3 linked regions of the Callithrix jacchus genome follow. The protein of the gene in region 1 interacts with the protein of each later gene in a biochemical or structural test. Links are inferred from orthologs where the notes say so. Each region holds a gene or a part of one and is shown on either strand. Other genes may lie near its edges. The genes, in order: THRB, NCOA6 and TBL1X.

Evidence for each region.
Region 2: the proteins of THRB (region 1) and NCOA6 form a complex in vitro, tested with the Homo sapiens proteins (2 studies listed by BioGRID). The link is inferred for Callithrix jacchus from reciprocal best matches to the Homo sapiens genes THRB and NCOA6.
Region 3: the proteins of THRB (region 1) and TBL1X form a complex in vitro, tested with the Homo sapiens proteins (2 studies listed by BioGRID). The link is inferred for Callithrix jacchus from reciprocal best matches to the Homo sapiens genes THRB and TBL1X.

What each region holds. Positions count from the first base shown.
Region 1 is NC_133518.1:62,843,005-62,847,324, forward strand, and holds the start of THRB (thyroid hormone receptor beta), read right to left. Parts: upstream 2,945-4,320; 5' UTR 2,659-2,944; intron 2,657-2,658; exon of another isoform or gene 2,234-2,656; intron 2,104-2,233; exon of another isoform or gene 1,756-2,103; intron 1,548-1,755; exon of another isoform or gene 1,335-1,547; intron 1-1,334.
Region 2 is NC_133506.1:4,479,934-4,484,324, reverse strand, and holds the start of NCOA6 (nuclear receptor coactivator 6), read right to left. Parts: upstream 2,910-4,391; 5' UTR 2,715-2,909; intron 1-2,714. UniProt on the Homo sapiens protein: Nuclear receptor coactivator that directly binds nuclear receptors and stimulates the transcriptional activities in a hormone-dependent fashion. Coactivates expression in an agonist- and AF2-dependent manner.
Region 3 is NC_133524.1:9,682,775-9,687,206, reverse strand, and holds the start of TBL1X (F-box-like/WD repeat-containing protein TBL1X), read right to left. Parts: upstream 2,879-4,432; 5' UTR 2,740-2,878; intron 2,258-2,739; exon of another isoform or gene 1,747-2,257; intron 1-1,746. UniProt on the Homo sapiens protein: F-box-like protein involved in the recruitment of the ubiquitin/19S proteasome complex to nuclear receptor-regulated transcription units. Plays an essential role in transcription activation mediated by nuclear receptors.

The sequences.
Region 1 (4,320 bases):
GCTATACTCAGTATTATTTACTTTCACCGGCTATAAAATAAAGCCAAATTGTATTTACTAGCAGATGGTCTCATTTCCAATATATAATAAACCTCCAAAATTAGGTAAAAATAGATTCTGTTATATTTCTTTAACATGCACAAATAATAAATGATTGTTCACCAATGCCTTTGTATGAAATACACCAAACAAATCACTTGGTACTGAATTTGTTTGACTCAATTAAAACAGCCACCTAGCATGAAAACATCCTAAAAACATCAACTGCTTCAAATATTTAGCACTGAAACACGTTTTTCATTGTTTCCTAGCCTCTGACTTATTTCAGAATTAGAAACAATTAAGCAGAAGTGAATTGGGGAGCAGGTCAGTCACTGGATATTCAGAATGAATCATGAACATGTTGACTAAAATGCAATTTTTATTTCTTTGTGTGCAGTGCATGCTACACATTCTTACAATTAAACTGAACTAAGGCTAAATAATGTGAAGATTGGCCAACAGGTCTACATTACCAATGCATTTATCATCATATAAATTGCTCTGCTTGGTATTAATACCCTGTGTAAGCAATGCTTAATTTCTTGAACTTCAAAACAGGTCTTTAAAACTGAATCTGACTAGTACCCAAGACCAATAACATGCTGAGGAAGAATGTATTTCAAATGCGTTTACTGATTACGCAGTGTTTGAATCTTCAAAAATCCTAACTGTATGTGGAGAAAGGAGAACGGAGAGTCTGAACTTGGCTGTTCAGGTAAACTCTTCCCTTTCTTTGACTCACTTTATGAATTATTATGCTTCTAGATCCTTCTTTTAAAATTTTCCATTTGGGGAAACTTGTACATTTAATCTTAAAAAAAAAAAACTCATCTCATATCCTCCCTCTCCTCTCCTTAAAATAAATTAGAGGGCTTAAGAATTAGCGCTAATAATAACCCCACAATGGTCATTGGGAAATCCTCCCCCCAAAATGACAACTGCCGCTAACAAGGACAAAATCCACTAAGAATGAAAATTCCCCAAATGAGTCCTTCTCCGAGGGGGTGGAGGTCACACAGCTGGCAAAACTGGTATCACAACCAATTCGAGGCGACCCAGAGGAAGATGCTACGCCAAGAGAAGCAAAGCAAAGGAGCGCGACCCAGGAGGCTAGCAAAATCCCAGCCGAGCCCCCAGGAGGCGGAGAGAAGCCCAGTCGCCAGGCACCGGCCACTGCGCACGCCAACATTCAGGATAATTCTCCTTTCCAAGCCCCAGAGTTCCGGGGCAGGCGAAAAAGGGGGGATGGGAGACCCACAATCCCTTTAACCCTCCCCCCTGTGCCTGCAAACCTTTTCCGAACCCCCGTGTCACACAACTTCCTCATCACGGAAACTTCCACTGGGTTCGGCGCTGAGGATGCCAAACTCCATTTCACAAGGAACATGTCAACAGCTGGGCTTGGGGTTTGAGGAACAGAGCCTCTGCGATTGGAGGGGGCCCCCAGCCACCCTGTTCCACCAATGTCCACACTGTGGCTCGCAGCCTGCCGCCGCGCAGTGCCCGAACACGAGAGGGCACCTCCTCCCAGATCCGGGGCGCAGAAGCCCCGCGGAGGCAGGTAATCGGGCTAATGACACCCCCACCACCCACGCCCGCCCGCCCGCGCGCGCTACGCTTTGCTGCCTGCACCCCTCCGGGTTCCTGCGACACCCCGTCACCATCCCGCCCACCCTGTGGACAGTTGGAACTGTCGCCCCCTCCTCCCCTCACCCCGCTGCCTCCGCGCTGTCCTCTAGACAAATTACCAGTGCCCTGGAGCCGGTTGGGTTGAGCGCCCCTGACAGGGGAAGGTAGCCTGCGGGCCCTTGCCCCGAGCCCGCGGAGCAGGAGGTCTCTTTTCCAAGCGCACTCACATTATTCATGCAAAGTTAATCCCCGCCGCGTCACGGCCGCCCGCCCGAGGATGTGCGCCTTCCTTGGCCAAGCCCCGCAGTCTCCACCCTCCTCCGCCCCCTCCTCCCGGCGGCGGGGTCCCGGGGAGCGCCGGCGACTGGGCGTCGCGCGAGTCCTGCAAAATGTCAACTCCTTGGGCGGAGAGGCGGCCGCAGCCAGGGCCGCGCTGGACCTCCCCGGTCTCTCCACTTTTATAGGCGTAGGAAGAGAGTGTGGCCGGGGCACCAGAGTCCCCGCCTCTCCGGGTCCCCCGCGTGCCCGGCCCGCCCCGGCCCGCTCCCCAGACGCTGCTTACTCTGGGCCCGGGGCGCCTGCTCCGCGCCGAGTCTGCGAACCGGTGACCTGGTTTCCCTTCAGCCCTCCCGGCGGTCCGACTCGCGCGGCGGCGGCGGCGGCCAAGAGCAGGCAAACCCGGCTCCGGCAGGGGCGCAGCGAGGAAATGGCCTCCTGGCCGCACACCCCGCCGCCGCCACCGCCCCGGGCTGCCCGGCCAGCACAGACGCCCCCTACCAGGCTCGGGGCCCGCGCTCCGACGCGCTCACAGCGCCGGGCTTGTGGACCCGGACCCGGACACCCGGCCCTACGCACTCGCCATTCCGGGGCCGGCTGCTTCCGCACCTGCCTTCCCAGGTGTCGGCGCTTCCCCTTCTCCTAATCCGGGCCGTGCCCTCCCAAGTGTGGTGAAGGTGCTGTGGGTTTGGTGGCCGCGTGTCCACCCACCCGATGGCCTGCGCGCGTAGGTGTGGGTTTGGTCGTCATCACTCTAGTTGGAGAAGAGGAAAGAATGGGGGGCGAATGACACGGGACCCGCGGGCGAGTCTTCCAGGAGCACGCTCTGGCCTTCTGTGCCCTGCCCGACCGGCGCGACCCGTGCCACCGCGCTCCTCCCTCCGCTCTCAAACCACTTGTGGCGCGTGTCGGGAGGACCCGGCGTTCTGGCTCCTGCTCGGGCCTCCTCAGGCCCGGCCATCTGGCGGCTCTCTCACCACCACCGCCACTCGAGAATGGAAGTTTGGGACATGCCTGGCTTGCCCTTAAGAAGGACACCCCCACCTCCATAATGCATATCGTGGGAGAGGTGCGTTCAGGGCTGAGACACTTCACACGTCCCAGAAGGGCCGCCCTATAAATTTGTCTTTGCCCTGGAAATGTACAGATAAAATCAGAAGACAAAAATAATGTATACTTTTGAAGAAAGAGTCCTTTCCTGGGCTAATATAGGTCTTTCCAATGCCCTGACCTTAAGTCCTGGATGCCAGGAAGAGACTTGCTTTCTGAGCTAGAAGGATACTTGGAAAATACCGAGTCGCCAGACAGCGAAAAGGTAGTCAATAAGAAACTATAGTTGCAACAAAACTACTTTGACAACAGAGTACAATTCATTTCTTATAGACGATATTAAAATAATTCCGACATCATAATTTAATATTCACATCTATTCGTGTAACACGCAATGTAATAGAGCTATGACGATATGGATCCTCAGCTGCTTGACAATGTGTAGGGTATTTATTGGAGGACTTTCTAAATTTCCAGTCAGTGACCTGTGTGTTTTATTTTCGCTTCTTCTGAGTGTCCCAGGGAAAGGGGTGAGAGGCTCCCCCCACCCCTGCCGGCAGTCTTAACAACCACTCTCTTGGATGAGCAGGGTTTCACTAATGTACTTCTAAGAAGGTTGCAGGCCCCAGACACGCCATTTCCCTTTGGTCCTCAGTGAGAAATCCGCGCTTTCTTCTCTACTCTTAATAAGGCTGCACCATAGGACTTGCCGGCTTCTGTAGCTGGAGAGCTGTTCTGCTTTGCAGGGAAGTTCCTGGGCTTTGCTCCAAAGCTGCCCCGGAATGTTTTGGTTGGTTTGGAGGAAAGCTGTGGCGTCTACACCACTTATTCCAAGCAGGCGGCCCCCTGGTGGCTAACTGTGGGTGAAAAAGTCGGCCACTGAGGAAGAAGTCTGGCACAGGTAGGCTCCAACAGTTGACAACCTAGTCTCCGGGTCGTCACAGCCTGTGAACAATTTAGTAATACAGGGAGATGAGGTGAAGCAAATCTTCCTTCAACATGGTGGATTACAGGCCTTTCGGCCTACTGGAACTTCTAATTTTTTTCTCTTCCTGAGTATAACTTGGGAGCTAAATTCTTTAAGAAGGATACATACCAAGGACGAAATATAACAAAAACTGTTGCTTCTCTTTGTTCGAGGGCTTTGCCTTTCTGATCTCATTTTGCCTAAAAATTTCAGAACTAGAGAGCCAATTAAAGCGTGAAATAAATAACAGGTGTGGAATTCAAACAATTCATGAGACTGTGGTGGTAACAATGTTATATAATAATGGGGGAGGGCAATTTTACTGCAATGTTACTGAAACAACGTGAACTACTGGG
Region 2 (4,391 bases), on another chromosome or scaffold:
GGCTGGAGTGCAGTGGCACAATTTCAGCTCACTGCAACCTCCACTTCCCAGGTTCAAGCAATTCTCCTGCCTCAGCCTCCCGAGTAGCTGGGACTACAGGCACACACCTCCACACCCAGCTAATTTTTGTATTTTTAGTAGAGACGGGGTTTCACCATGTTGGCCAGGATGGTCTTGATCTCTTGGCCTTATGATCCACCCACCTCAGCCTCCCAAAGTGCTGGGATTATAGATGTGAGCAACCGTGCCCTGCCCTCAAATATCTTTATATTATACTACAGTTGTTGCATATAATCTTAAAGTACCCTTTAAGCGCATCATATCTTTGAAATTATAATTATCGGATCCATCACTAAATATGATTTCTTAATGTGCTGATAAACAAGTATATGCATATTAGATTTTTATAGTGTAGTAATTGTATTTCAATATAATTGGTGTTCCTTATAATCCAATGTATTTTATTTTATACAATTAAAAATATTATTCTGAAAGGGGTCCATGGCACAGATAAAGTCAGGTCTTCCAGCATTAGAAAAACCCAGAAAAGGCTCACACCATGGTGGCTCACGCCTGTTAATCCCAGCACTTTGGGAGGCCGAGATGGGCAGATCACTTGAGCTCAGGAGTTCAAGACCAGCCTGGGTAACACGGTAAAACCCCATCTCTACCAAAAAGAAAAAAAAAAACAAACCCAGAACAAATGAATTGTGTTACTGTATATACATATGATATTGACGATCTTATTTTATATATAACCCTTTTGTTCATTAATTCTCTTTGATTATATGGGGCCCTGGACCTATTTTTCATGACTGATTTGCATATTTCCTTCAGACCCATAGTCCATGCAAACTTTGAATTCTTCTCTCACAGGATCCAACTTCGATGAACACAATATAGACTCTGGGTCTCTACCATTGTTCACTTTTCTTTTTTAGGATTTTGTGTTCCTTTATGATAAACACCTAGAAGAGAAGGCATCTCTTTTTTTAAGACAGTATCTTGCTCTGTCGCCCAGGCTGGAATGTCATGGCATGATCACAGCATGGCTCATTGCAGCCTTGACCTCCCAGGCTCAAGCGATCCTCCCACCTCAGCCTCCTGAGTAGCTGGGACTACAGATACAAGCCACATCAGATGGCTAATTTTTTGGCCTTTTTTGTAGAGATGGGGTCTGCCAACTCCTGGGCTCAAGGAATCCTCCCACCTTGGCCTCCCAAAGGGCTGGGATTACAGGCATGCGCCACTGTGGCTGGCCGGAGCATCTCTAAAAACTCTAGAAAGTTAGAAAGTATCAAAGATAACTTCTTTGCACAATTAGAGACGAGCCAGGAAATACCAAGTAACTGTATTCCCTTCGGCCTTTGCATTGCCAAACTCATTACAGGAACAAAACAAATTTAATTGTTCTCTGGTATATACTGTTACGCTTCATTTCTTGTTGTTTTTGTTTGTTTGCTTCTAGTTTCATCACAAGAATGTTACGCTTCATTTCTTAACACCTTTCTCCCAACCAGCAAATTCCTTTAAGGAAATGTGTTTAAACCACTTCCAGTAGCCCCTCTGCCACTAACTTATAAGATCTTGAGAAGTCAACTTTACCTTTCTATGTTTCAGCTAAAATCACTACCTGAGTTGAAATCTTTACTTGATCTCTCAGGTCTTTGTAGTTTTTATACATTCACTCTTCACCATTTTACTGGCTTCAATAACGCCTTTCTGATGACCTCTCCAGGTGACCCTGCTCTTAAGCTGTGGGCTGTCCCATTCCAGGGAAGACACCTTGGGTCACCGCCCCCAAACAGGCGGGTTCCTCCTTTTAAAGACACACACAACTCCCAAAGTTGATGTAGGTTTTCTCCTTTCTTGCCAACCAGTTCTACTCTCTGTACCTCTTTTGCTGGCCAGCTTGCACCCAAACCTCAGTCCCCCTGTTCTCTCCTCATCAAACACCTTTTTCCTGTTGCTTCCCCCAATAGGGGGTGGAGGATCCTTGGGACAGAAGTCTTCAGAGCCTTGTGAGTTACACAGCTTTGCAATTCAGTTCCACTACCCCAAGGACTGCCCAATCTGATACCAGCGTCTGGATCCAAAGGGCCCTCATTTCTCATCAATCGCCTCCGTCCTTTCCCGCAAAGAACTGTTCCAGCCCTGACAGCCTGAGCCTGACCCCAAGCCTCCACCCCAATCCCCAGATCCTACCAGCACTAGGGCTCTCTATACACCGCCTAAGGCCTAACCCAGTTCCACGTCCTGCCATCCTTTCAGCCCTTGGACCCCAATCCCGGTTCCTTTCGGTCCCGGTGTTCCTTCTCGGCGACCCTGACTACGACCCCACGACCCCACGACCAGCTCCCGCCAGTTCCCCAGGCCTGAAGCGCCACCCCGTGCAGACCCCAGCCAGCCCTGCACTCCCTCAGTGCACCGGCCCCCGCGCCCAGCACCCTCCCCACCCCGCCGGGCCACCGCTCCCTCCAGCGCCCCCGCCCGCAGGCCTAGGGCCCGCTCCCCAACATGGCGACTGGGACACCAGCGCGGCGGGCGGGGCGGCTCCGGGCCGGGCCCACACTCGGACCGTGCAGCACGGTCGCCGGGCGCCATTTTCCCGCGCCGGGCCCGGGCGGCGCCTCCTCCCAGCAAAGCCAACCCGACCCGGACCGCGGACGCCCGGCGGGCCCACCCCTTACGGGCCCGCGCCGCCGTTGCCTCACCTGAGCGCGGCCCCGGCCCTCCCGGGCGGGCCTTGGAGCGCCGGCCCGGGCCGTGCGTGCCCGCCGCCCTCCGTGCGTTCGTCCGTCAGTCCTCGCGTGCGCCCGTCTGTCCGGCCACCCGCGCCCGGCCGCCCGCAGCCCGACCCGGCAGGGCCTCACGGAGCCGGCGGGGAGGGGGATGGGCCGGACCGGGCCGGGGAGGGAGGGGGAGGGAGGGAGAGAGGGAGGGAGCGCGAGAAGGGGCGGGGCGGACTCGAGGGGCGGGGCATCGCCCATGTGACCAGACGTTCCCGGGAGCGCGAGGTGGAGCGCGCGCCAGCTCGCTTCGGTGCTGAGTGCTTAGTGCGGGTGTATCGTGGGTCTCTGTCGACTTCCCAGGGCTGTTCTCCCGCCAGTGAGTCCCACTTCGGAAGCACACACGGCACAACGTTTTGCGAGCGCTCTGGCTAAGTACCCTTGGACGTGGCAACTCCAAGCCTCAGTTTACCTATTGAAATATGGAGAAATTCATAGTGCTTGTTGAAGAAGAAATGGCGGGGGGCATGGAAAGCACTTATCGCAGTGCCTGACACATACTGTCTAATAATAAGCTTAATGGGGATATAGATAGAAGCTTTCATTATTAGTTGCCTCCAAATCCCTCTCTTCTTTTTCCCATCATTACCTCCCTAGCAAGCGAAATGCTCAGTTAATAGAATTCTTGATCGAACAAGTGAGTGTGGCCCCTCCCCTCTTCCCAAATGTAGAAAGGCCTCCTCAGCACTGGACTTGATGTCTGTCATTCAGGCCTGCATTCATATCTGGCTTTCACTCTTTTTTTAAATTTTTTTGTTCTTTTTCCCACACTACACTGATGTATTTTTTTAATTTTTGTGAGTACGCAGTAGGTGTATATATTTATGGGGTATATAAGATTTTGATACAGGCATGCAATGCATAATAATCACATCATGGTAAATGGGGTAAATGGGGTATCTAGCACCTCAGCATTTTTTTTAAAAAAGATGGTGTTTCACCATGTTGGTCAGGCTGGTCTTGAACTCTCGACCTCAGGTTATCCACCCACCTCGGCCTCCCAGAGTGCTAGGATTACAGGCATGAGCCACCGTGCCTGGCCGCACCTCAGCATTTATCTTTGGTGTTACAACCCAGTTATATGCTAGTTATTTTAAAATGTGCAGGTAAATTGTTTTTTTACTATCATCACCTTCTTGTGCCGGCAAATACTATGTCTTATTCATCTTATTTTTTGTAACCATTAATCATTCCCATTTCCCAGCCACCTCCCACTAACCTTCCCAGCCTCTGGTAACCCTCCTTCTACTCTGTATCTCCATGAGTTCAATTGTTTGAATTTTTTGCTCCCATAAATAAGTGATCACATGGGAAGTTTGTCTCTCTGTGTCTGGCTTCTTTCATGTAACAAGGACCTCCAGTTACATCCATATTGTTGTAAATGGCATGATCTCATTCTTTTTTAATGGCGGAATAGTATTCTATTGTGCACATGTACATTTTATTTACCTATTCATCTGTTGATGGACACTTAGGTTGCTTCCAAATCTTGGCTATTGCGAACAGGGCTGCAGTAAACATGAGAGTGCAGATATCGCTTCCGTATACTGATTTCCTTTTTTTCTGGTGTATACCTAAGAGTAGGATTGCTGAATTGTATGG
Region 3 (4,432 bases), on another chromosome or scaffold:
CCCTGTCTCCTGAACCCGCCGCCTATCACGCCGCATCTCAATCTCTCTGATCCCATCCGCCAAGAACAAACCTCGGCAAGAAAAGGAAACAGTACCCGACTTCCTCTGAAAACTCAACATATTCTCTTTCATCTTAACTTTAAATTTGTTCCAATTCCATTTTTAACAGCTTCCAATTCACTTCTGCAACCTTCAGGCATGCAGTAGATTATCTGTAAACATTTGATGGGGATGGCCGCGCTGGAAGGAAGCCGGCTTGGGTGGCACATCCATCTGAAGTCAGGCTCTCGCTGGCCAGGCAGGCAGCAGCCCGAGTGGACTCCTTAACAGCTGCCTTTCTCCCCTGGAGATGTGAAACTCCTGTTCACAGCCTAGGCTCTGCTTGCTCTTTAGAAACCTGTGACTCCTTCAGCCCCTTCCCACATTCAGCCTTTCTTTGGGTTCCGGTAGGTTTCAAGTTTGCCAGTCTGGCCAGTGTGGTCCATTTGGTCGAGCCCCACAGAAAGTGAGGGCGGGAGTGGAGGGGCAAGACCAGTGGGAAAAACTCGAGCGCAGTCTCCTGCTCAAGAGGTCAGTTACCTCCCTCTCACTAAAAATAGTTATGGGGAAAAAGTTTATCTTTCCAACTAAAAAAAAAAGTGTTTATAATATGCCTTTAGTGTTGCTTCCTGGCTGAAACTGATTTGTCAATGCATGTGGTAGTGAAAGATTAACAACCTCTCGGATGTAGCGTACTAGGTCTTTTTGTTTTTCCTAAGGGAGAATAAAAAGCAAAGCAAGGCAACAGGAAAGCAGCGCAAGGATGGTCTTGCCTGGCTGGGCAGAGAAGCTGTGATGATCGGCTAGGCCTGGAGGCCCACAGGACAGTGCTGCAAGGCAGTTTTGTAGAAAACTGGGAAGGGGCCAGGCCCAGGTTCTAACGGAGGTGTTCTCTTACCCAGCAGGAGTGGATCAGAGAATCTGAATTCCTGACACTCACGACCTGCTGGAGATGGCCTCTGCTCATCACCTTAAAAGGTGAAAAAAAGCTTCTAACTAAGAATGATGCACAGAACCAGTGGTACTGATATAATTGATGGGAAAACTCCAGAATTTGAAACATTCACTTCTAAGTGTGTCTACAATAAAGTTATTATTTTTTGCAAACTGTTTCCTCTTTAAACTACTGGCAGGGAGAAGTTCTCTGAGTCCAGTAAAGGGGCAAAATACCTGCGGGTGGGGAAGCGAGGGTGTCTGCACTACGCCACACATCTCCATGTCAGTCCTACAGGTGTGTGTATTCCGAAGGGCTGGAATCGCCTTAAGAGCCGGTGATCCAGTGGTGAACAACTTTCGTTGTTTGTATGAGTTACGCAGTTTGGTGGCTTTCCACAAAAATCTGCAGCACACCTGAGACATGACAACCCTTTAAAATAAGCATGTCATACTCAACATTTTTCTAGATTTTATTTTCCTAATTGCATCTTTTCTAGGTAGGACTTGTAAACTTTTCGTAAAATGGTCAAGAGCCACTTTCCGACACCAAAGCCATGGCCCGGGACCTTAGCAGGGAGGTCGCCTTCCAGGTTAAACCAGGGATTCGGCGGCGTGTCAGGAGATGGAAAACATCCAGAAGGCAGGTCAAGCCACACATGACAATGCAAAGCAGAAACAGTTGCAAATACAATAGAGGGTGGGTTTCTGTTTCTTTTTAGGTTTTGCTCCAGAACATCACTGACTGACTCGAAAATAAACGATGGTCCCTACCTTTGTGGAACGTCCAACGCAGCTGGCTGGGGAAACACGAGGCCTTGCAGCGAGCGAGCCCTGGCCCCAGTATGACCGCGCACAGGCGATGCACGTGAAGTCCAGGCCCTTTACCCGCACTAGCGGGGCTCCAGCGACCCACAGTTGTCACAGATCCGGCCATCCCCGACTCCCGAAGGCACACTCCCCATACCGCACTCCGAGCACCGGTCCCATCCTTAGATAAAGTCCCCCGCAGCAAGGCTAGAGCTCCGGATCTGCGAGACCCACCCGACCCGACCCGCCAGAGCCCAGGAGCAGCAACAGGTCTGCGCTCTCCCCGGGCGGCGCTCTGCAGACCCTCGACGGGCCAGGGGTGCCCCCAGCCCGGTCGTGCGCTCGGGCCGGGGAGATGGGCAGAGGACAGGGACTCCCGACTTCCTTGACAGTTTCTGCGCTTCAGAAACTGAGCAGACGCGGAGCCCGCGCCTCCTCACCAGCCACTCGCCCCACTCCGCGCAGCTGCGCTTCCAACCGGGTGCCGGCGGGCCGGCCCGCGTAGCGGGGATGAATGGGGCTCCCCTCCCCAACAGGGGGAAATCCCGCTACCGCCCTCCACCTCGGGCCCCGGAGCCCACGGTGGCGCAGGTTAACCCAGCAAGCCTAAGGATCGGCAGACAAAGAGGCACCATAGGAGAAGCGGAGTGCTTCCCGAAACTTACCGGCCGCCTCCCCCTCCCCAAAACAAAGGAGCCCCCAGCCGACCTCCGTCTCCTACCCCCACTTTGGGGAACCGCCACCTCGGGGTATTGTTCAGTCTCCGGGGAGCGCGCCGCACACCAGTCCGAGCGCCGCGGGGACAGCTGGCGACCTGCGCCTCCAGGAGTTCCAGGGGCGGGAGGAGCGTCGGGCTCCCCGAGCCTCCGGCAGGACCCCCGAGGGTCAGCACGGAACCCGCCTCCCCGCAGAAGTTTGCGGACCCAGCGCCCGGCCCGCCGAGCCCCGCGCACTCACCTCACCGCGAGCAGCGCAACTTGTGGCGGCGCCGCGCGCCGGTCTGCGCTCCGAACCTCCCTCCAGCAGGCAGCCTCCGAGCCCCTGCCGTGTGGCGGCCGAAGAGGGCCCGGCGCCCTGGAGCAGCGGCGCGCCGCCCCTGGGCCGCCCCCGCCCCGCCGCCGCCGAGTCCCTGAGAGGGCGCGGGCGCTGGAAAGTTTCGGTGGCGAATGGCGGCCGGAGAGAGCTGCGGCGGCGGCAGCGGGGCGGGGGCGCTGGCGGCTCCTCGCTCCCAAGCGCGGAGTGGGGGCGCTGAGGCGGGCGCGGCGGCGGCGGCGGCGGCGGCGGCGGGAGAGGGCGGGACGGCGGGAGGGAGCGGGACGGCGAGAGGGACTGGCTCGGGCAGTGACCTCCGCGGGGAGCGGCTGCGAGCGCGCGGACTCCAGCTGGGAGGACAGCCTAGGGGGCCGCCCCCGCCGCCGGCCCCTCCCTCGCGGCCGTGGGAGGCGACCCCGCGTCCCACCCGGCCCCGCCCCTGCGCCCCGGGGGGGCCGCGTCCCGAGCCAGCCCCTCCCCCACGAGGATAGGGACTCCAGCCCCGCCCCTCCCCCACTGAACCTAGTGGGAGACCCGCGTCCCAACCCAGCCCTTGCCCCTGGGTCGGGGGACTAGCGTCCCTACCCAGCTCTCCCCGCTCCCCCACGCCTAGGGTGGGTGAGGGGAACCCGGGCCTCTCCCTAGTTGCCGGGGCCCGGTCCCTTCCCCGTGGCCCCCGTGGGACTGAGAGGAACCCAGGCTTACCCTCATTCCATCCCAAACCCAGCCTTTCCACGACTGCCTGGAGAGGACAGGAACCTCGGCCACCCCCTCGGTTTATAGCGGGCAGGGGAACCTCGGTCACTGCTAAAGTGTTACCCTCCCCCATCCCAAAAAGGAAGCAACCCGGCTTCCCTGACAGAACCCCAGCCACCTGCCCGAGGGTGTATCTACCTCAAAATCGGCGTTTTAAAAGACACCCCAGTTATCTTTCCCCACCTCAAGAAGTGGGGACTCCGGCGGAACCTCCACCTTTGCAAAACACCTCCCGGGAAGAGCCAGAAATGCTTAGGGACAAACTCAGACCCCGTCAGAGTGGCCGGAGCTCAGGGGTGGGGGCTGAGGAGGAGGTTAGGGGACCTGGGCCAGCGGGCTTCATCACCCCCACCCCCAACCTTAGGCTTCAGCCCTCGGGCCCTTGCTAAGTGTTTGACGTAACGGCTTACACTGCCTGGCCCTGGTGCACCCAAGTCCCCAGCGCTCCTTCCTCCCCTCCACCTTGATGTCGACTCCCCACGACTCGCGACCTTAATTCAGTTAAACAGATCTCCGCTCCCCCTACCCAGCACCTCTTGGGTCAGCCTTGTTGAATATTTTTCAAATAAGTTTGCCCCTTCCTTTACTACATAATAAGCTTCGTGCTAAGAGCCCGGTACACTCAGAAGTATAAACTATAAACTCACTTGCTCTTCCTCGAACACTAGACCATTTGTTGTTCTGGTTGTGGGGGGAGGGGGACCCGAGGTGAGGTTTTTTGTTTTTTGTTTTTATGTAGTCTGGCAGTGTTTCGCACTGTCACCCAGGCTGGAGTACAGTGACACGATCTCGGCTCAATGAAACCTCCACCTCCCTGATTCAAGCAATTCCCCTGCCTCAGCCTCCCGAGTAACTGGGATGA